Notamacropus eugenii: one gene and its partners. The protein of the gene in region 3 purifies or fractionates together with the protein of the main gene of each other region. This does not show direct contact. Links are inferred from orthologs where the notes say so. Each region holds a gene or a part of one and is shown on either strand. Other genes may lie near its edges. The genes, in order: PRDX2, PRDX1 and PRDX5.

Region 1 (7,908 bases), on a different chromosome or scaffold from region 3:
TACTTATTTTAAGGATTCCCACCGCCTAACGTGAGCCTGATATGACTTTGCCTTTCTAAGGCTGAGTCTTGAAACCTCACTGGATTTATAGCTGGAAAGGACTTTAGACATCAGCCAATTATCTCACTCTTTTAATAGTGGGAGAAACTGAGGCCCAGAAAGGGGAAAGGAACTTGTTCAAAGTCACATAGCTAGTAAGTGGGGGAAGATGGGAAGCAATATTGTGGAGTGAAGAGAGTACTGAAATTGAAAAGCAAGAAGATCTGGGTTTTTCAATCCTGGCTCTGACATTTACAAGCAAGAAGTTAAGAGTTCCCTGAGTGCTATTTCACTTATTTGTAAGATGAGGAGGCCTCTGAGGTCTCTTCCAGCTCTAAATCTATGACCCTATGATTCAAACTCAGGTCTTTTGGAGACCTTACTATATTTCGAAGGCTATAGAGGAAGAAGGACTAAATGAGATGAGAGTGAGCCACTTTGGAGTAGACAGAGGACTTTTCTCAGTCAGGAAAAACTGGGTACAAATGTCATCTCAGAAACTTCATAGCTAACCTACATATATATACATATATTATACATATATACAATATCAACATATAACATATCTCTATCAAATTGCTTGCCTTCTCAAGGATTAGGGAGGGAGAGAATTTGGAACTCAAAATTTAAAAAAATGTTAAAAAAAATTTACATGTAATTGAGAAATATTTAACGAAATAAAACTTCACACCTATGTGACCATGCACACATGGGCATTTAACCTCTCTGTGCTTTGTCTGGAGGCAGCTAGGTGGCAGAGTAGATAGAGTGCCAGTCCTGGAGTCAAGAGGACTTGAGTTCAAATCCCAGCTCTGAAACTAGTTGCATGACCCTAGGCAAGTCACTTAACTTCCATTGCCTTCACACAGAAAAAATGCTTTTTCATCTGTAAAATGAAGGAAGTTGATGGCCTCTATGATCCCTTTCAGCTCTGAACCAATAATCCTTAATTGTGTAGTCAATCTAAGGAAGCACCTTCTAACAATTAGAGCTATACAAAAGGGAAATGGGTTTCCTCAGCCAGGGTTGAGTAAGTTTTACCCTACTTGAAGCCGGCAAGCAAAGGATGGGTGACCACTCCATGGAGGGGGATGTTGGGTGAGGTATGTATTGGGCTAGAAGATGATCCCCGAGATCCCTTTCCAGCTCTGAGATCCTGTGCCCTGAAATCTAGTGTTCTTGCCCCTACTCACATTGAGTGGCACAGGAGTCAATTTGCTGCCCACCCACAAACAGCCTCTCACCGCCTCTGCATGCTGGTGGAGATGAGGTTCGGGGACAGAATGTCCAAGGCCCAGCCCACAAAGGTCCGGGCCTGATCTAGTTTCCCAAAGAGTCTCTCTCTCTCCGCCTCCGACAGGGTCTTTGAGTCTGGCAGTGTGGAAAAGGGAGAAGTGCAAGGAGGAGAGGCTTAGTCACAGGGGCACAATCCTTCCCCACCTTTCACCCCCTCACCCCACAGCCCCTGGAAAGCCATCCGTGCAGCACTCACCTGCCACCTTCAGAGCCTCCAGGGCGCCCACTTTGGACAAGGGGCAAAAGCAGATGCCGTAGACCATAGGGCCTGGCAAAAGGGGACAGGTAGAGTCAGATGCCTCCAGACCCCGGATCTTGACTCCCACAGCCCAGAACCTACTCTCCAACCACGGCCCAACCCCGAAGCAATCCTTTGGTCCAACTGCTCAACAACCAGGGCCCACCGCCAGGCAATTTGCCACCCCTAAGAAGTGCCCACCTTGGGGCAACCCCCAACCCCTCAGCAAACCGCCCCCGGCTCGGAGCCCACCCCTCCTACAACCGATACACCCCACAGCCCTGGTGCAACAATACCCCCTAGCCCGAAGGCCACCCTCACCCCCGGGCAACCCCACCCCCACTCTCCTCCTCCCCCAGCACGCTGGCACCCACTCCCACCCAGAACAGGCCCCCGGCCGGCCTCATCAATGCCCAGGCAGCAGGCCTCGGTGCGGCACAGCTCCGGCACCGGCGAGCTCAGACGGCAGCTGCCTGTGTTGTCCCGCTCAAACTCCCCCAGATCCATGCTCGCAGCAAGCCAAGCGGTCTTGGACACTGGCTGGGAGATCCCGCAAATGCGCGGATCCAGGCGGGCTTCCCGCCCCCGGAAACCTCCAAGCCAATCCTGAACTTGCTGTTCGTCCTCGTAGCTTTCTGGGACTTGTAGTTCATCAGCAAGAGCGCCACCTAGCCGTGCGTCCTAGAATTTCAGGAACTGGGAGGGAGCTCAAAACCCATCCGATCCAATCTCTCCTCTTAAGCATGATGCTCCCTCCCTTTGATCATCATCCACCAGTTATCTATCTGCAATGCTTTTTGACTGACTACTGACTAACTGAAGATCTCTGTTTCCAAGAAGTCATTTGCCTGTTTAACACACACCAAGACACAGCCCTGTTTAAAGAGTTCCAGAGGCTCTCTATTGTTTCAGTTACAAAATACAAACTCCTTTGCAATTTAAAGCCCTTCACAACCTGACATCTACCTTTCCAAGCTTTTTATACTTTGTGGACAGCCATCCAAACTGGCTTACTTTCTTCTGTCCCTCACACATGACCTATCCTATCTCCCCTGAGTTTACACAGCCCTGAAATGCGGTCCTTCCTCACCTTTACTTCTTAGAATCTTTAGCTTCACAAGTCAGCCCAAACACCTTCTCCTACATGAGATCCTGCCAGATTCCCTAACTCTGTTAGTGCTTTCTACCCTCTCTCCAACGAATTAATCTTGCATTAACTTTTTATATACATACGTATATATACACATATGCTATATGTGTATTACATACATACATATGTGTTAAACACACTCCCCCCCATAGACTATAAGATTCTTGAGGACAGGGACTTCCATTTTTGTTTGTATTTTCTGCTTCTCCCTAATAAATGTTTACTGATTGACTAATCATTCATTGGATTGATCTAGTCCAAGCTTCTCATTTTACAGGAGGGGGAAATTGAGAACCAGAAAAGGGAAAGAACTTGCCCAGTGTCACAAAGCTATTAAATATGGCTAGGATTCTAAACCAGTTCTTTTGGCTCATTCTGGGAGGCAGCTAGGTGTCCAAATGGAGTGGATAAAGTGCATGGATAGAGTCAGGAACTCATCTTTGTGAGTTCAAATCTGGCCTCAGACACTTTCTAGCTGTGTGATCCTGGGCAAGTCACTTAACTCTGTTTGCTTCAATTTCCTCATCTGTAAAATGAGCAAGAGAAGGAAATGGAAAAGCACTCCAGTATCTTTGCCAAAAAAACCCCAAATGGAGTCACCAAGAGTTGGACCCAATTGAAATGACTCAGTAACAATAGACTAGTATTCTTTTCATCGGATCAAACATTTCTGTCCAGGCCTCCAGAAAAATAGCAGCAGTAAGAACTACTATTTGAAGGCCTTACTAGGAAATAAGGAAAAATCTAAGGTAGCACCACTAGGATGAGGCCATCTCAGCAAACATGATCTTTTCCACTTCTGCTGTCTCCGAGCACTAAGGGCCTCTCTTAGTAGAGTAGGCCCTGCCCCCATAGAACTAGGATCTGCCTCCTGAGGCCCAAGCTGGTAGGCTTCCCTCCAGTTGATTCTTCCTTGAGCTGTGGCATGTAGTAGGTGTGGCTATGCATCTTCCTGGACCTGCTGGAGTGGCTTTACCGCAAGGTTTAAAATTATCTTTAATAACAACAGCAATAATAGAGATGATTACATTCTGATCTTCAAAGTATTCAGGGTAGGGTAGGCCTCAGGGGAAAACCTGCACCCCACATGCTGCAGATAGACAAGGGTGATATCATCCCAGGAATCCCCAGCTCTAGGGCCCCTCCCTCTCAGGATACCCCTTTCCCAAGTTCAGATGCTTCTCTCTTCCTTACCCCAAACCCAGCTGGGATGGTAATGTACACACACAGGGCCTCAAGTCTCCTTGAGTTTTCTATCTTCCTTTCTCCTTCTCTGGGTTCTGGAGTTTGCTTTTGGCCATGCTCACTCTGTGTCCTCAAACCCTCCGGTTGCACTGGCCTGGTGAGCTGCTAGGACAGTTGTTATAACTGCAGGGCTGGTGCTGCAGGAGGCTCTCCCTGTCCAGAAATACAGGTGCTGCAGATGCGCCCATCACATCCTGCCTCCGCTCTTGAATTCCCAGGAGACACTGGCAGGTCCAGGGGCCCCATGGACCCAGTGGCAATTCTCCTGGCTCTGGGGGAAGAAAACATCAGTCAGCCAGGGAGCCTGAACCTTGACAGGGTTTCTTCTACCATCTGAAATTTCCAGGCTTGACTGGGATACTTCCCAATATGCCAAGCGTCTTAACAATATCTGTTGAATTGAGTAATAGGACCCGGGGAGAAATCCTGGCAGATTTCATTGTGGGGGGTGATATGTGTATACTTGTGCGTGTGCGTGGGATGGGGGGTTGTAAATCTTTGCTAAGGAGAGGGGTACGATTTCAGGGCCAGTGCACTGTATATGAGTGCTTCTGAGTTTCTTCTGAGTAAACCTGCACGCTCCCCGTGCCCCGCCCCACCAATGGAAGACTCCTTGAGTTACTGCTCATTGATGTGTAACATCTGGGGAGATCAAGTCTGGAGGCTCTGGGGGTTGAAGGCATCTCACTCTTTACCCAGTTCTGTCTCCCAAGAATCCCCAGAGCCTTGTTCTCCGAAATAGTGATGGTCTGGGCCTGGGCAGGTTCGGGGCCGAGCAGGAGCAATCTCAGGGGCAGTCTGGTCATCCACGGCCCCCTCCTTCTCTATTCAGTAGCCCCCTGAACCGCTGTTAGTCGCTGGTCCAAGGTTCTCCCTGCGCTCCGTTATCCGAGCTGCTCATCAGGAGGGACAGGCGAGAGGAGTGGACAAGGGGGAGGGAAGAGGTCAGCGGCCCCCGCCCCTCAGCTTCGGTATATTCAGGTTTCTCGCCCCCCACCCCACACCCCCCACGACGCATCAGTAGGCCCGCCCAGGCGTGTCGCGTCCTCCCCCAGGCTCGTTCCCATACGTCCCTCCCAACTCCTCCTCGTCTTCTACCCCCCCTCCCCCCCACGGTCTGGCTTTAGGTGGTACAGGCCGCGGATAAAAGGCGCGGGCGGCGGCCTCTTGGATTCGGCTTTTGGTTTCCAGACTGCTACTGTTGCGGTCTAGTAACACGCGCTATCTTTGTAGGCTCGGAGCCCGCCCTTCTTGCAGGTACAGTACGGTGCAGTGCGGCATGGTGCGGTAAGGTACAATGCGATGCAGGTCCTTCTGGGCCGGGCCAGTTCTAGGCTAGGGGAGTGGGAAGCAATAGAGGCAGCCTGTGACTCCCCTTTATCCAGACAGATTGTGTTCTATGCTAATCTGCTACTGTCCTGGTCCTTCCCTCTGCATGGAGCAAGAAACGTTCCTCCCCGCCCCCCCCATCCCTGCCTTTGTTCTTTGTGGGCTATTAGGAACTGAGAGCCCAGGTGAATTCTCCTCCACCTGTCCCCTACTCAGCAGGGAAACTGAACCTTGAGAGAAATCTAGACGTCTCTTTGTTCCTGCTCTTGAGGCCTAACTCAGCCTGACTAAGGGTCCTGGGAGGAGGTGAAAGATCTTACAGCCTGTGCCTGGGTGCCCAGACCTGTTTCCCTGGTGGGGTAGGAGCAGTGCAGAGGAGGCAGGAGGGCTGGGTCTGAATTGCCCCCTTTCCCTATGGGACTAGCTTAGTCTGGCCCGTGTGCCCAAGTCTCTTGTGTTCAGCCCATGGAGGGAGGGATAGGGGCTGCATGTGACCATCTTTGTCTGACCCACGTGCCCAGTCTGGCCTCGGGAAGTGGGGGAAGGGAGGTGGTGCTGGGTTGCACAGCTCGGGGAAATGCGAATCAGGTGCCCTGGTTGACCCTAAGGGGAAAATCACTTTTTCCAGTCATGTCCTCTGGAAATGCTCACATTGGAAAACCGGCCCCTGACTTCCATACCACTGCTGTGGTCGATGGGGCTTTCAAGGAGGTGAAGCTGTCTGACTATAAAGGTGAGAGATAACAACCTTAGAGGTCAGAGACACTGGCCCCTTCCCCTCTGGAGGAGGGAAGTCAGGGTGTGAGGAGATGATCCTATCACCTGGAGAGTGGTAGGGGAAGGGGCCCCAGCACCTGCTTCTCACTCCTTTTATTCTTATCGCTCCAGGGAAGTATCTGGTCATATTTTTCTATCCACTGGACTTCACTTTTGTGTGCCCTACCGAGATCATCGCCTTCAGTGATCGGGTCTCTGATTTCCGTCAGCTGGGCTGCGAAGTCCTTGGTGTGTCTGTGGATTCCCAATTCACTCACCTGGCCTGGTATGATTCTGGCTAGGAGAAGGAAGATGGAGAAGGAACTCTGCCCTATCTGACTTTGTGCTTCTACCACCTTCTCCCACTGGAAGTGTCACTGGCTGGCACCTCCTGTCTTTTGCTAGGGAATATCCTGTGGCCCTGTAACTACACTTATTGGAACAAAAGGGTTTCCAAAGCTGAGTTGCTGGGGTCCCTTTGTAGTAATTTGAATTGGAAGGGACTTTGGAAGACATTTCTTTCAGCTCCCATCATGTGAAAAAGAAAAAAAAACAGATTTAGAGAAGTTAAGAGCAATGGCTTTTGATTCACCAAGTACCAGAGCTGGCATTTGAACTCAGGGCTTCATACCTTATGTCCACTCGTCGATTGTTTCAACCATACTAGGCAGTACTTTCTGTTCCATCTTCCTCAGAAATAGAGAACAGCATCTTTCTCTTCCTGCCTTACTACTCCCTCCTGGGTGTGGTAGGTTTGGGCTTTGACAGCCCTGCCTGCAACCCCTTTATCACTTACTCAGGACTCTTAGGGAAGCCCTAATCTGTTGCTCAAGCCCTTGGGGAGAAGGGAGGAGGAGCCTCTGAGCTGTGAAGATAGCTCCTTTCTTTGGAGAGTAGGAAAGATAGTCCCTGATTAGGGAGAAGGGGACTCCATGGAGGTAAGTAACTTGGACACTTCTTTCTCAACCTCCCTAAAAAGGATCAACACCCCTCGAAAACAGGGTGGCCTGGGTCCTTTGAAAATCCCCCTGCTGGCAGATGTAACCAGAAACCTCGCTCGAGATTATGGGGTACTGAAGGAGGATGAAGGCATTGCCTACAGGTATGGTTGGGGGACCGTCTGTAAGTATGTCTTGCTCTGTCCCTGATCATCAACAATTTAGGAGTCACCATTCTGACTGGTTCTTAGTTTTTGCCACCCCCACTTTTATAGTCATGAAAACAGACAATCTTTGAACTACGTAGAAACAGCAGGGAGTTGCAAGGTTTTAGAACTAGAAGAGAACTTGGAGGCTATATTATCAAATCTTGTTTTGCAGGAACAAAAGCTGAGGCTGAGAGAGTTGAAAGGACTTAGATAAAGTCATACAAGTACTAAGTCTGAATTCAGACTTGGGGAGGGAAGGTGATCGAGGACATAGAATATTAGGAGCCAGACACTTCCCCCAAAAGAAAGTAAGTCTCAGCCCTTACAGATGTGGCAGAAGAATGGGTTTGGAATTAAAATCTAGTCTTCTTTCTACTGAACATGGTGTTGCCCAGTCCTGGATGACTTCCAGGGTCTTATACTAGCTCTTCTCCATTTACTCAGGGGCCTCTTTATCATTGATGCTAAAGGCCTTGTCAGGCAAATCACTGTCAATGACCTGCCTGTGGGTCGATCAGTGGATGAGGCTTTGCGACTAGTGCAAGCATTTCAGTACACAGACGAGCACGGAGAAGGTGAGTCTTGTGTATTCCCTATCCTACCCCACTCTTCCTTGGGTGTGTTTTCCACTTCCAAGGTGGCTACCCTATGGATTGAGGCTTGAGCTGGTCTCCTGGCTTTGGACAAAAGGCTGGGAGACCTGTCTCC
Region 2 (7,300 bases), about 490 Mb from region 3:
GCAGGCAGAGGGTGGAACCAGCTCATACTAAAGTGCAGAAAAGCTGAGAGGTCCAGTTTGTGCTTCTTAAGAAAACTAGAGAAGATTCTAAGCCAATCCAGAGAGTCTCCAATTAACTGCTTTCAGGTAGCATAGCCAGGCACTTCTGGGTGGAAGTTGGAAAAGATAATCCGTGGTGGGAAGATGTCTGGTTTCAAAGACATCCTTGCCTCTTTGGTCTTCACCCACTTAGGAGAATCAGAGCATTTCAGAGGCATTTCTATGCAGAATTCTCCCCTAAAACATGCCCCCTGCAGCCAGTCATCCATCATTCATTGATCCATCCATCAATCCATCATCGATCCACCAATCCATCCATCTATCCATCCATCCATCATCGATCCACCAATCCATTCATCCATCCATCCATCCATCATCGATCCACCCAAGTATGCCCTATTGTTTGGCTCACAATTTCCTTCTTCCTGCTTGCACTGGACTTCCTCCAGATTCCTCAGCTGAAATTTGACTCTTGGTTAATTCCCTGATTGTAAGCTTGAGCTCTCACCCCTGGACATCCCACTTCCCCCACCCATGACCCTACAATTCTACTTCCTCTCCCACCATGAAGCTGTTGAGTCATCTCCTTGGTTCTGAACTGTCAGGATGACTCTGAATCCTGATTATGTGAGCTAACAAAGCCTTCCCAGCTTTGAATGTTCTGAATACTTGGCAGGCATGCCTTCTGTCTTCATCTAAGTCACTGATGACCATCTTGTAGGAGACAAGGCTGAAGAAAAAGCCAGGTGGCTCACCACTAGAGACTGCCCCTCCTGGTTCATACAGCCCCATAAATCAACACCTTTTGGTCCTGTAGGAAAGCAGAAAAGTGGTAGCTGTTGTCCATTCCCAAAGAGGGCCTAAATGACATCATTACATTAGAGTTAAGTTATAGTGTGTCCTACTGTGGCCGATCAGATCAATATGAGCTCGGAATGCTCTACCACAGCTAGGGCACAAACAGTCCATGTGAACATATGGGGTGAATTCTCTACATCTGTGCATCTCAAATTTCTTTTGAGCTACTTCAATTCTACTTCGCTCATAGAGCACAGTGACTTCTCTGACGAGGGCATGCCATGCTGGGTGGTCCTGTGCCAGTGTCCCCTACATCACACAATCAATTCTAAAGTCCTTAAGAGAGACCTTGAAAGTGTCCTTCTATTGCTTCTTCTGACCACCATGTGAGCACTTACCCTCTGTCAATTAATTCTCTGTAAGATAGTCTTTTTGTCCACCTCTATAAAGGTAAAAGAAATAGATTGTCCTGTGACAATCACAGGGGGAACTCTGTCTTACCCATTGCCAGATTCTTTTCAGAGTCCTCCTTAATAGGCTGATGCTTCACCTGGAAGACAGTCATCTGCCTGAGACCCAGTGTGGCTTCAGAAAGGGCTGAGGAACAGTAGATATGATGTTTCCTGCTGGATAACTCCAGGAGAAATGCCAGGAGCAGAACAGAGGTCTGAACACAATGTTTGTAGATCTGACCAAGGCCTTTGATGTTGTAAGTCGTGAGGGCTTATGGAAAATTATGTTAAAATTTGGTTGCCCAGAGAAGTTCATCAGTATTGTACATCAATTTCACAATGGCATGCTGGCTTGGGCTCTGGATAATGGATGATGCTCTTGTGCTTTTCCAGTCACCAAGAAAGTGAAACAAGGCTATGTGCTTGCTCCCACACTTTTTAGCATGAATTTTTCAGTCATGTTAAACCCCTTCAATGAGGATGAACACAGAATCAGGGTGAGATACTGAACTGATGGAAAGCATCAGGGTAAACATCAACAGAGGCAGAAATGGGCATTTGTCAGATAGACAGAGAATATAGGAGGGGGTTTGGGCATCCACAGAAGCCATCTACCAGCAGCCCCTACTTCTAGACCTCTACATGTCACACAGTCTGTCTCCCACTTAAAGATCTCAGGGCACAGAGACTCACTCACTTGCTTAGAGGAGAAATTTCCAACACACCTAGAAATCCCCTCCCCTACCTTCTTTTAAAATCTCTGAAACACATTCCAGACTATTCCCTGGGACACCATGCTGGGTGGGCAAATCAGCTCCCTTTTTATTCCTTTCTCTCTGCTTTTTTTCTAGCCAGAAATGGTTCCCCAAGGGCCAGACCTCCAGAATGACAATGGTGGGAATTCTGGCTCTGGGACCTTCAGCCTTGACCTCTGTGGCTATTAAATGGCGCTGAGGCCCTAGCTACCTCCCAACAGGTTAAGGAGGAGGGAAGGTGAAAGGAGATCATAAATGTGAGGAAACTTTTGTAATCATAAAGGGCCCCCAGCAATGTCGGCAATGACTCCTAATGACGACCCTGAGCTCAGGTTGGAGGCCTTACCTGCTCTTTCTCCCTAGCTATCATTCTCTTTGGTGTCATGGAGACGCCACTGTGAAGGAGGGGGGAGAGGAGGAATGGCACCCTCAGGACAGCATCAGGCTGACTTGGGTTTAAGTCTTATTTCTCATAATCCAGCCTGTGGAAAACTCTGGCGTAAAGGAAGAAGGCTGGAGTAGTGGACTTCTGAGGCCTTCCAGCCACAAGCCTAGAGCCTTCTTCTCCAGCCAAGACCATTGAAATAGCTTTCTCACTGTTCTCCCTGCCTCTGGGAACCTCCCAGGTTCTTGATAATAACCTTGGATATTTCCCACCTTCAGTGTTTCCTCTCTGTCACCCAATCAATCAGCAAGTATTTAATGAGCTCCCTAACTATTTTCGCTCAGCACAGAGAATGAACAGCCCCGGGCGGAACAAAGGCCAAGTAGGGGAGGAAGGGCCACATCCAGGGATGTGGGGGTGGGGACTGAGCCAGGCTCCAGGTGGCACACATCCTATTCGAGCCTCCCACCACCAGGAAAGCCAGCTTCCTTCTCCTGCCACTCCCAGCCCCAGACTCATCGCCCAAGGCTTGCTTCAGCCCCTCCCCCCCTACATTTCCTCAAAGCCCAAGGCACCTAAAGACAAAGCCCACTGAGCCCTCCCCTGGTACTCATTCCCCCATTCATCCTGCTTATCATATAACACTCTACAGAAAGGAGCGCAACCCACACCTGAACAGGAAATCCTTCTACAATATCCTGCACAGGGAGTCACCCTGCCTCTGACTGGAGACCACCAGAGATGGGGAGCTCACTACCTTTCCCAAAGAGTCCCTTCCATTCCTGGCCAGCCCCTAAGGAGAGCAAGGATTTCCTAACACTGAGCCTGAACTGATTTGGCCTCTTTGACGATTCCCCCTCCCCCTCAACTGTTCGGACCAGCAAGGCTGATCTTTGTTCCATATAACAGCCCTTCCCAACATGGAGAACAGCTCTGGTGCTCCCCCTCCCCCCTGTCTCCTCTGAGATTCCCTTCTCCACCAGCAGCAGAATGGAAGGTCCCTGAGGGCAGGGCCCAGTTTCCTTTTTTGCTTTGTAACCAGGTGGCATGCCAGACCCATAGTGGGAGCTTAACCAACTTAGGACAAATTCATTCTCTCCAGTCTCTCCCCATGCCCCACACCCAGCAGGACTCTCACTGAGCTCCCTGATCCTGAAAGCTGGGCCTCTCTTAATGCTGCCCAACGTGCTGACTCAGGCTGGCCAAGCTGGTTCCCGCATGGAAGTCTAGTTTTGAGCCCAAATGTTACACTTGCTGTTTATCCTTAGTGAATTTCACCTTCCATTCAGCTCCACAGCTACGAGCTTGTATTTTCCAGTCCTAGCTCAGGGTGCGTCAGTCAGCCCTCCCAGCTGTGCATCAGCACCCTATGCGATGAGCTCTCATCCACCTGGGCCTCCACTCTGGTCAAGGGGAGAAACGTCGGGCTGCACAGAGCCTTGGGGCACTCCACGGGAGACCTCTGGCTTCTGCTTCTCTTTGTAGTTGTCGGGCAGAGCACGGGGCCCGGGATGCAGCGAGTGCGGGGGCTGTACGGCTGCTGCTATGCGGTTACATTGTTACTTATTAATTGTTACTAATTATCTTTTAAAAAGCTCAGCAGGGCATGTGTCTCATGGCCGCAGGGAGTTCCCAAGCTGCACCGACACCTCGCCAGGGGTTCAGGGGTGTTCCGAGGCAGCCGGGCCGCTGGGAGGGAGAGAGAGAGGCGATCTGTATCGGGGGAGGGATTTCCTGGTCTGAGAGGCCCAGACGTCAGGTGGTGGGGGAGAGGGCCCAGTGAGCGTGATCTGGGGTTGGGGAAGGAGGGGCGTCCTGCCCCCGAACCCCGGAAAAGTGCCGAGTCATGCTGAAGGCGTGGATGAGGAGAGGGAGGGAAGCAGGGAGGAGGCGGGGCTTCAGGCGGCCGGGCCCGCCCTCTGCCGCCCAGCCTCTCGCGAGATCAGGGGCTTATAAAGGCGGCGCTGGGCGCAGCATCCTCGCGCTCTCCAGCTCCTGCTCAGGGGTTCGGCCTTTCTTCGACCTTGTCTGCGGAGCCTAGCTGGTGAGGCCAGGGAGCGGGCACGTCCCCCACGCCACCCCCTCTCTGCCGCCGTGCTGCCCCTCCTCGGGCGGCTGGGGACGGGCGGGGAAGCTCGGGACGTCCTGGGAAAGGCGGACGACCCCCCCAAGGACGCTGATTGGCTGGTGGGGGCGTGTTGGGGAACCTTCGGGTGGGGGGCGGGACTTGAAGTTCTCGAAGCCACATCAGATTGGTGGAATAGAAGCCGGGCCCGGGCGTGGGACAAATGGGGAAACTGAGGCACGGGCTCACCTGCCCCGAAACAGCCTCTTACAGGGACCCCCACGGCCTTCTCTGTTTGGACCGTGGAGGAAACTGGGGCTCCGGGGGGGAAGCGAGGCGCCTGGGGAGGAGCGGGCGGCGGCGGCGACTCTACTTTCCCGCCCTCTCCTCGTGGTTCTCCCCGGTGTGACCGAGGAGGGGGCCCCCCCGGGGAGTGCAGCAGCCCATCGTCCCGGGGTCCCAGCATCGGGAGCCGGGGGCACCGGGGCCCTGGTGCCCCCGAGGGCCTCCATCCTCCTCTCTGGCCACGTGGGCAGCACTGTCGGCCTCCACGGTCCGATGATCGGGAGGGGGTGCGGTGGGCTGCACCCCTGCCTAGGCAGGGTCCTTTCCGGGAGGTGGCCGTGGGGGAAGGGCATTGGAGCAGGGTCCCTCGGGGCTTTTCTGTAAAGTGGGTTCGAAGGGGGTGAACCTCGTTCCGAGAGGGCGCCCCTTCCGCTCTCCGCCTTCAGGCAGCTCGCTGGTGGGTCGGGGATTGGAACGCCGACCCAGCCGTGACCACGGATAAGTCACTTAGCCTCCGTCTGCCTCAGTTTCCCCAACTGTAAGATGGGGATAACCCCCGGTTAGCGCGGATCTCCCCGGGTGTGGGTGTGAGGAGCAGATGAGGTCGGAGTTGTGAAGCGTTTAGCCGAGTGCTGGGCACATAGTGGGTGCCGCAGAAAGCCCCCGTCTCTTCCTCCCCCCTTGTGGATGCGCGCTGGGGTGAGCCCACCCCGAGAGGGCAGGGCAGGGCCGGGGGGGCTTCCGGTGCACCTGGGCTTGGAACCGGCAGCTTCTGCCTGGCTCTGCAGTGATCAGTCTCTCCGAATGGAAATCAGTTCCCCTTAACTCCTAATCTCTGCTTAGCACTGCCCAGAATTTCCAGCCTAGGCCGGAGCGCAAAACCACCCATCTTTCTTCCTTTTTTCCTGGGGACTGGCTGGTTTGGGAGAGGGCCGTAGGGTAGAGGCCCCTCCCCACGAGGAGTCCGGTCTAGCCGGCACAAAACCCTGTTGCCTAATCGGGCTGTGGAGAACTGCTCAGCCCTGGGAAGTTGGAGGGGACTGCCGGGGTTGCTTTCTAGTTTAGGATGGCAGCCAGGACTTTGCTTTCAGAAAATCCTTCATTTTAAGTGACTAGATCTCCTTGTTATATGTGACCAGGAGGGCAGAGGGCTCCAAGGGCAGTAAGATGGTCAGGTGTGGTTCTAGGCTAGTATGTCCCCTTGGTGCCCGGCGAGTCTCTCAGTGCTCCCTAAAAGTGAGCTGCCTCGGGTTGTCTTAGGAGTGGGAAACTTGGTACCTCTCCTGAAGTCACCTCTCTGGTTTTCCAGCCTCATTCCTCTTGGCCCCCAGTTACCGTCATACTGTCAACATGTCTGCGGGCAATGCCAAGATTGGGTTCCCAGCCCCCAATTTCAGAGCTACAGCTGTTATGCCAGATCGGCAGTTCAAAGACATCAGCCTTTCTGATTACAAAGGTGAGTTGAATTGCCCGAGCCTGATTAACATTTCTTGATTAACCAAGTCTCCATAACAAAGGCACCTTTGTGCACTTTCTGCTGAGCTGTTTTTATTTCCTGTCTAGGGCTGAGTGGTGATGTTGCCCCCCCCCACTGCTTATTCCAGGAGAGAATAATACTGTGGCCTATCTCCTTCCCTCCCCATCTGCGCCCAATTCTGATATCAAAGGGCCTTGGATCTCCTCAGATAAAATGGCTGATACCCAGAGGACCTTGGCCAGCCTCTCCTCTGGGGTCTCAGCTGGCTTAGGAAGGTGCTTTCCTTTTTGTGCCTTAACTGAAGGCTCTCTTCAGTGCCCCTCCCCTCAAGGGCTGATGTCTGGGGTGCAGTTGGGTCTCAGAATGGCAAAGGAAGAGGGCCTGGTCACTCAGGCCTGCTGGGTTTTCTGGGTCCCGAAAGTGTCCAGATTGCTTCGCAGCTGCAGCTGCTATTCTGAGCTAAGCCTTGCAGAAGCTGATGAACAGAGAGGCCCGGCGTGGTGGGTTCTGAGCCTTGTGGGCCACAGCTGGTTGGCAGAGGAAAGGGTAGCTGTCATGCCCTTACATACCCGTGTACACACACTACCCTGACCCCAGAGGGAGGATCCTATGAGAGTGCCAGTAGTCCAAGATGCTGCCCTCCCTTGGGCGCTGAGGAACAGGATGGCACTGACAGATTTGTTGGGATAAACAATGTTCCCATTGAGGTTGGCTTTCAGTGGGGACACCAGATGCTCTCCTCGATTCACTTGTGGCTTATAGAACAACCCTGAGCCTTGGCCTTGTTCTACCAGCATGACTCCCTTGGGGTAGAGCCAAGCTTGGTTCCCAGGGTCACTGGCTAGTTTGAAGGCAGCTTCTAAATAACCTCTAAACTCCTTGAGGAATATGAGCATGTGGGCTGCTTATGTCTTGGAGTGAAATCTGCCTCAGGGAACTGATTTTTTTTCTCTGTATCTCAGTAGGGAGTACCTGCCTGGGCTCCCTCAATCCCTGTGAAGTTCCTGCCCTGATGTGATTAGTTGGTCTCGTCCAGTTACCCAG
Region 3 (7,259 bases):
GGAGTACGTGCTGCTCAAGGCCTTGGCTCTGGCCAACTCTGGTGAGACATGGGCTGGGGACGAGGGAAGGGGGGTGGGAGCAGCTGGGGTGAGCTGGAGGTCGAGGAGTGCCATAGCCCTCTGCTCCAGAGGTGGATGTACCCCATGGTCCTCCCAGCAACCCTTGAGTGTAGGTGACAGAGAGGTGAGCTCCAAGGGGCTCCCACAGGGGGAGGGGAGCTGAGCCTCCTGGGCTGACCTGGGGCTGCCCACAAAGTGCTCTCCCTGGTTTTGCTCACTGAGGTCAGAGCTGGGAGGGACCTTAGGCATCATTTTAGCCAGCCCCAATCTTACACATAAGGCAACTGAGGCACTGAAAAGAGAATTGAGTTTGCCTGAACCACAGACTAAGGGGAGCAGGCAGGATTTGAATCTCTGTCTCCACTGTGTTACCCCATGCCCTGGAGAACCCAGATAGGTCTAGTCCTAGCTGACTTCTGTTTTGGACCCACATTATCTCCTTGGATTCTCTGCGTCTCAGGTTCCCCCTAGAAGCAAAGCAGAGTGGAACCAGGTGGGCTCCTTGGAGGGCAGGGGTAGGGGCAGGTTAGCACCCACTGAACTGAGCTCTTCCCTCCCCAGACTCAGTGCACATAGAAGATGCTGAGGCTGTGGAACAGCTACGGGAAGCCTTGCATGAAGCCTTGTTGGAGTACGAAGCTGGGCGTGCTGGTGGGGGCCCTGGTGGGGGAGCTGAGCGCCGCAGGGCTGGGAGGCTGCTGCTCACTCTCCCCCTCCTTCGCCAGACGGCGGGCAAAGTGCTGGCCCATTTCTATGGGGTGAAGCTGGAGGGGAAGGTCCCCATGCACAAGCTTTTCCTGGAGATGCTGGAGGCTATGATGGACTGATGGGGGGAAGGCTATTGGTCTTGTGGACATGCTCGGGTTGGGGGGGGTGGTGCTGGCAGGACCGGCAGGGGTGGGGGGGAAGGGTTGAACCCCAGAAGCCCAGGGGAGGGCATGGGCAGTGCCCACAGCCTGCTGGCAGTGCCAGGGCAATGCCAACAGCCCATGGGAACCAGGCCCATGCCCACCCTACTCCCTTCCATAGGCACCTAGAGGAGTGAGGCTAGGCAGTGCTGCTCCAACCACTAGGGGGAAGCACTGCCCCTCACAAGCCATAATCTACCCCCAGGGTTGGGGGGGCCTTGTGGAAGCCATAAAGGGGGGCTGCTGGGGAAACTGGGGTATCAGGGGAGAGGTAAGAGATCTCAGGGAGGGAAGAGTTGAGGGGCCCCAGCTTTCCCTTCGGTTAATGCTTTTTTTGCTGCTGCTTGGCCCATCCCCAGGGGCCTGGCTCCCCCTCTAGCAGAGCCGGGGCTGGAGAGCAAGGACCCCCGAACCCTTCCCTCCTTGCCATTTATACTGGGCATTATTACTGCCCCCAAACTCCAATCCTTCTCCCCTTTAAAGCAATAAATCAGAGCTGGTTCCTCTCTCCCTCCCCAACCTGCCCCTGGAGCTGGGCCAAGGGATGATCCCGGACCCCTGGGGAGGGGAGGGGGGCCCCCGCAGCATCTACTCTATCCCCTGCATAGCAATAACACTATATTTATTTTTAGGTTTGGACTGAAGGGAGGAGCAGGGGCCACTGGGGTAGGGCCTGGGCTGCCTCCTCCCAGGGCTGCGTGGGGGAACAGAGCTGTACAGAGACTCTATTTTAATGTATATTTGCTGCAAAGAAAAAAAAAACGCGTTCAGTTTTGAACCTTTAATGAGGAAAAAAAAATATAACAGCGATCATACCATCCCCAGGGCTCTGTGTGGTGTGGGGGGCAGAGGTGGAGGGGAAAATGACCGCAGCTCAGCCTGGATGAACAGGCCTAAAAAGGGACTGGGGAGGAGGAGAGCTCTGAGGCCTAGGACGTGGCCTCCTCGTCACTCAGCAGCATGTTGGGGATCCCTCGGCTGATGGGGAACAGGCGTCCGGACTGCGGGCACTGCAGGGTGCCCTCCACCACCTCCACCTGCGGGATGAGCACAACATGAGCAGGGCCCGGCCCGCCCGCCCAGGGTTGGAGGGGCAGCGCGCAGGCCGAGCCTCACCTCCAACAAGACGTGGTGCGCCTTCCTCAGGAAGTCCTCGTCCTTCTCGTAGCCTTCGGCCAGCTGCCGGGGCAGCTCGGACAGGTGCCCCAGCTGGAGGGGGCACAGGTCGTTCGGGTTACGGGCCAGGGTCCCTTCCGCCCTGGACCCCGGGACCGGGAACCCTTGTGGGGCCCTGGGGATCCCCGCACCGCGGACACCGCCTGCCCAGTCCCCGAGTGCCCTGGGACCCGGGTCTCGCGGCCGTTACCTTTCTCTACCCAGCAGGCCCCGGGAGGTAAGCCGGCACAAACCGGTACAGGCCCGGGCCTCCCGCCGCTGCCTGACAAACCCGGGGCGCAGCGGGGCGGGGTCCCCTGTTACTGAGGAGGAAACTGGGGGTGGGGGGAGGGGGCGTGCGAGGGCGCTCACGCTCTCGGCCGCGTCCACCAGCGCCGTCCACTCCATCTTGGGGATCATGCGCGTCACGAAGTCCGGGTTGAAGTCTACAGGGCTCACGCGGACCTCGGTGGCCTGGGGGGACACGCCAGGGTTGTCACGCGGGCCGCGGGCCGGGTGGGGCCCGTCACCCCGCACCCCCCCCGGCCCACTCCGCCTCGGGTACCTGGATGCGTAGCGGGAAGCCCTGGGGCCCCACCCCACGCACGTGGGAGCTCAGCAAGTTGTGGGTCAACAGCTTCATCCCAACCTGCGCGCGCACCCGCACCGGAACCGGAATCAGGTCGGCGCCCTGCCTACGTCACTTCCGTCTCCTCTTGCTTTCTCCTCCCACCCTCTCGAGAATCCCTCTCTTTCCTCCGGCCACTTCCGGAAGAGGCGGGGCAGCCCTCCCCAAACAGGATGTTGCGGGAACTGCTGCTGCCTCCCGGCTTTTATTTCCGGCCCCCAGATGCAAATAACGAGTTAGAGCCAGATGCGCATGCGCAGATGCATCCGCGCTGCAGCCCGGGGCTAAGCTTCGCGGTACTGATCGCGAGCGCGCCAGTGCGCGCATGCGTCCTCATGCACCTTGCACCGCGTCCGAGATCATGCGGAGGTATCTCTGCGCAAACACGTGTTTGCCGCTAGGTGGCGGAGTGGAGAGTGTGCGGGGGAACCCGGCAGAGAATTGTCGAGTTCGAATCCTTTCTGACACCGGCCAGTTACTCAATGTCTCCCAGCCTCAGTTTCCTCATCCCCGGCTCCCAGGGTGGTCGTGAGGACCGAATGGGAGCGTTTACACTGCTTGCGTGCTTTGCGGTGTCCTTCGTTCTCGGAGGACCGAGACGTCAGGGAGTGACGCTAGGACATGCACGTGAACTGGCTTTAAGGGAGGCAGGGCTGTGCAGCCACCAGCCTGGCTTTCTCAGCCAGATTGGAGATGACCCAGGAGGCAGTGGGGGGCTAAGGTCTCAGCAAATAGGGCCTTATTTGATCCTCACAACCATTTCAGGAGGAAGGTGCTAATTTATTAGAGAGGTCGCTAGTGGCGGAGTGCAGTGCCAGGCGCGTAGTCAAGAACAGCGAGTTCTAATCCAGCCTCGTGTGACCCTGAGCAAGACACCTAACCCCGTTTGCCTCCGTTTCCCCCTTTGTAAAATGAGCCGGAGAAGGAACTGGCAAAGCACTCCAGCATCTCTGCCAAGAAAACCCCAACTGGGGTCACGGAGAGTCGGGCAGGAAGGAGAGAGGGGCCGAGGGAGCCTGGGGGACGGGAGCCGAGGAGGGACGGCCTCAGGTTGGGGCTCCCGGCGGAGAGGGGGCGCCACGGGGAGGGCGAGCAGGCATGGGGAGGATGGCAACAGTGACACCGAAGCGCTTGGGGCTCGTTCACGGCCCGTACCTGGGCTCAGCCAGGCTCAGCCTCCTCCCACGCCACAAGTCGGTCACACGCTAAGCCGCTACGACACTCCGCCGCCTGGGCAATCTCGGGAGAAAGAACTGCGCAGCCGGGCCAATGAGCGGCGAGCCCCTCAGAGGCTCGGCCCCGCCCCCTTCGGCGCTTCGCCAATAAGAAGGGCGATTCCCGCCCTCCCCCACTCTGCCCCAACCGGCGGCTCCGTACAAATTTACAGGTTGTCTCGTGGAGTTGCCCGCCCCTTCCCAACCCCTCCACTCCCGGTCGCTGAGTGGCTCGCAATCGTTCGACCACGCCCCTTCACGCAAATGAGGAGCCTCTGCAGGGGCGGGGCTGCTGCCAGGGGCGGAGCTTCATCCGGGGGCGGGCCGTACTCAGAGCCGGGCGGGGATGGGGCTGGCCGGGCTGCTCTACCTCGGGCGCCGCGCTGGGCACGTTCTTAAAGGGGCGTCGAGAACTGCCACCGCCGCCCAGACCTTCCTTGTCGCGTCGGTTCGCACCCTACGCAGCGCCTCTGCAACCATGGCCCCGATCAAGGTGAGCCTCGGCGTTGACCTTGACCTTGGCTGTCCCGCCCCAACCCCCCGGGACCGACCCCTCTGCCCCCGAGAACTGACCGCCCCCCCCAATCATCCCCATGTTAGGGACCCGCTTCATGGACCGACACCCCCAGTGACCCTTCCTGTTAGTGACCCACTATACTGTTTGATCCCCCCATCGGTCCCCCCATATTCTAGACACCCCCATGCGAACGACGCCCCCCCCATCATGTGGACTCATCTCTCCATAACCCAGGGACCTCTTTTATGGAATGATTCCCTTCTGCCCATCCTCCTTCCTCAGCCCTATGCAGCCCCCTCTTTGTGGACAGACCATGGAGGGGTCCCCTCCCTGACCTGAGCCTCTCCCCATTATTAATTGATGATGAATATAGGCAGTTCCTCATTGCTCGGGCCTGGGCATCTCCCCCATGGAATGGTTCCATAGGATCATAGACTGGGGGTCGTCTCCCTTTTGTGAGTGCCTGGCCCATAGCTGGGGCTGCTTAGGGAGTGAGTACTTCTTGATTGACTGACTGGAGCTAAGCTTCTCATTTTATAGATGAGGAAACTGAGGTCCAGGGCAGTAGGGATTTGCCAGGGATGGTATAGGGAGTGCACATCCGAACTGGGTTTTAACATAGATTTTTTGCACAGATTTGCTTAAGGAGCTGAGCCTCTCAAAAAGGAGGAATTTTGCCTGGATTGACCACCCATTTAGCCCCACCCTCATCCAGTGTAGCCTGGGGATCCCCTATACCGAGTGATTCTTCCTGTGGCCTGATCCTCTCCTGATGAACTGACCACCTCCCACCCCCATTATGGATTGATGTCCCATCTGGTCTAGCCCAAACCCCATGTAGACTGACTCCTCATATGGAATCCCTTATCGACCCCAGGGTCTCTTCTTCCTCCTCCAGCTGCTGAAGTTCAGACAGATTCATTCAGCCCCAAGCCCCTCAGATCTGTGATTTGGGTGGTAGAGACTAGGACCCCCCCCTTCTCATCAGGTGTCTGAATCCCTACAGTGCCCGGAGCCACTACTCTCAGTTACTTAGAGAATTAACGGATTCCTTTTCCCCAGTTTGTGCCTCTGGACTGAAATGCTCGCTCCCACCCCTGAGGTTTGGATCTATTTCACTGGTGTGTGTGTGTGTGTGTGTGTGTGTGTGTGTGTGTGTGTGTGTGTGTGAGAGAGAGAGAGAGAGAGAGAGAGAGAGAGAGAGAGAGAGAGAGAGAGAGAGAGAGAGAGTTTTAGACACAGAGTTGAGTTGGAGAGTTGGAGATATGGCCCCATCATCTTGGAGCCCATTCCCACCCTACCCCCACCCCCTTGCCAAAGCCAGGAATCCTGGTGCCTGTGTCTTATTCCAAGCCCCATATTCTGCAGGGGACTCCACAGGGCAAATCCCAGACTCTGGTCAGACTTTGCCCTCTTTCTTCCAGACTGTAGTCTTTCTGCCCTGCCCCTCCCCATCCCACTCCTTTCCCAGAACACAGGCTTTGGTCTTGCCCCACAGAAATTGTTCTTCTGGGTGATGCAACACCTGCATGGCCACAGAAAAAACTTCCGTCACCAATCGTCCTCCATATGCCCAAGGGAGGGATCATAACTTTCAGGAAATTTAGAGCCTGCTTGGGTGGGGATGGGCTGTGGGGTGATCCAGCTGTCCTTGGGAAGGGACCAGGAAACTGACCTGGGAATTTCCCTTTCCACTGGCAGGATGGAGCCCCAGTCACAGAGACTGGGAACCCGGTCCTGACTTCCCATCAGGGTCTGGCTTCTTTCTAGCTCTGAGCCTTCTCCCCTAGGTGGGTGATGCCCTTCCATCTGTGGAGGTATTTGAGGGAGATCCAGGCAAGAAGGTGAACCTGGCAGAGCTGTTCAAAGGCAAGAAGGGAGTACTCTTTGGGGTGCCCGGAGCTTTCACACCAGGCTGTTCCAAGGTAGGAGAATAAAGCCCAATGCTAGAACCTAGTTGTCTCAAAGTGAGGTGAGCTGCCTTGGGGTATTGAGGTCCCTGTTGCCAGAGGATGGATGACTCCTTATTTGGGAAATTGAAGAGGGAGCGGCTGGTAATGTATGGGCTAGGTAAGATGACCTCTGAAGCCCCTTCTCACTCTCTTGTGAGTGAAAATGGCACCTTTCTGAGGTCCTGGTAGATTCAAGGGGAATGAGGGGGAGCAGCCTAGAATAGCTGGGGGTTTGGGAGAAGGAAGGGTGAGAAAGGATGTGGGGCTCCTAACCCCTGCGCATTCCTTCCCCAGACTCACCTGCCTGGCTTTGTGGAGCAGGCTGATGCCCTGAAGTCCAGAGGGGCTGAGGTGGTAGCCTGCCTCAGTGTCAATGACGTCTTCGTGGTCAGTGAGTGGGGCCTGTCACAAAAAGCCTCGGGCAAGGTGAGGCCCTGGGGGAGGGGGCAGGGGCTGAATGAGAGGAGGGGCCCAGGGTGCTGACCCCTTCCCCATCCTTCTGTCTCCAGGTTCGGCTCCTGGCTGACCCCACCGGGGCCTTTGGGAAGGTAAATGTTTGCTGTCACTGTTGGGGACCAGCACAACTGAAAACTGGGGCCTGGCTCGGTGCTGGGAGAGGCAGGCTTAGGCAGAGGGAGTCAGATGATTTGGGTCCTCATCCCAGTTCAGTTACCTCCTGGCTGTATGACCTTGAACCCGTCCCTTCTCCTCTCTCCTCTTGGTGCTTGTGAAATGACTGGAATAGTTTCCTAAGAAATCAGGGCTTCAGCTGCCAAGTGGCAAGGAGGTTTGATTTTGGTGATGGAAAGGGGCCAGTCTTCTGGA

The links.
Region 1: the proteins of PRDX5 (region 3) and PRDX2 fractionate together in Homo sapiens (co-fractionation; 3 studies listed by BioGRID). This does not show direct contact. The link is inferred for Notamacropus eugenii from reciprocal best matches to the Homo sapiens genes PRDX5 and PRDX2.
Region 2: the proteins of PRDX5 (region 3) and PRDX1 fractionate together in Homo sapiens (co-fractionation; 3 studies listed by BioGRID). This does not show direct contact. The link is inferred for Notamacropus eugenii from reciprocal best matches to the Homo sapiens genes PRDX5 and PRDX1.

What each region holds. Positions count from the first base shown.
Region 1 is NC_092875.1:78,123,698-78,131,605, forward strand, and holds the start of PRDX2 (peroxiredoxin-2), read left to right. Parts: upstream 1-4,846; 5' UTR 4,847-5,225; exon of another isoform or gene 5,226-5,229; coding exon of another isoform or gene 5,230-5,249; exon of another isoform or gene 5,250-5,260; intron 5,261-5,925; 5' UTR 5,926-5,927; coding exon 5,928-6,030; intron 6,031-6,185; coding exon 6,186-6,339; intron 6,340-7,032; coding exon 7,033-7,155; intron 7,156-7,644; coding exon 7,645-7,775; intron 7,776-7,908. Other genes in the region: RNASEH2A (ribonuclease H2 subunit A), read right to left, coding at 1,284-1,410, 1,532-1,603, 1,954-2,080; THSD8 (thrombospondin type-1 domain-containing protein 8), read right to left, coding at 4,040-4,239, 4,664-4,797, 5,230-5,249.
Region 2 is NC_092873.1:506,673,326-506,680,625, reverse strand, and holds the start of PRDX1 (peroxiredoxin-1), read left to right. Parts: upstream 1-4,207; 5' UTR 4,208-4,473; intron 4,474-6,088; 5' UTR 6,089-6,129; coding exon 6,130-6,235; intron 6,236-7,300. UniProt on the Homo sapiens protein: Thiol-specific peroxidase that catalyzes the reduction of hydrogen peroxide and organic hydroperoxides to water and alcohols, respectively.
Region 3 is NC_092873.1:17,156,505-17,163,763, forward strand, and holds the start of PRDX5 (peroxiredoxin-5, mitochondrial), read left to right. Parts: upstream 1-4,232; 5' UTR 4,233-4,311; coding exon 4,312-4,458; intron 4,459-6,272; coding exon 6,273-6,407; intron 6,408-6,728; coding exon 6,729-6,860; intron 6,861-6,943; coding exon 6,944-6,982; intron 6,983-7,259. Other genes in the region: ESRRA (steroid hormone receptor ERR1), read left to right, coding at 1-41, 622-887; TRMT112 (multifunctional methyltransferase subunit TRM112-like protein), read right to left, coding at 2,111-2,177, 2,335-2,597, 2,689-2,766. UniProt on the Homo sapiens protein: Thiol-specific peroxidase that catalyzes the reduction of hydrogen peroxide and organic hydroperoxides to water and alcohols, respectively.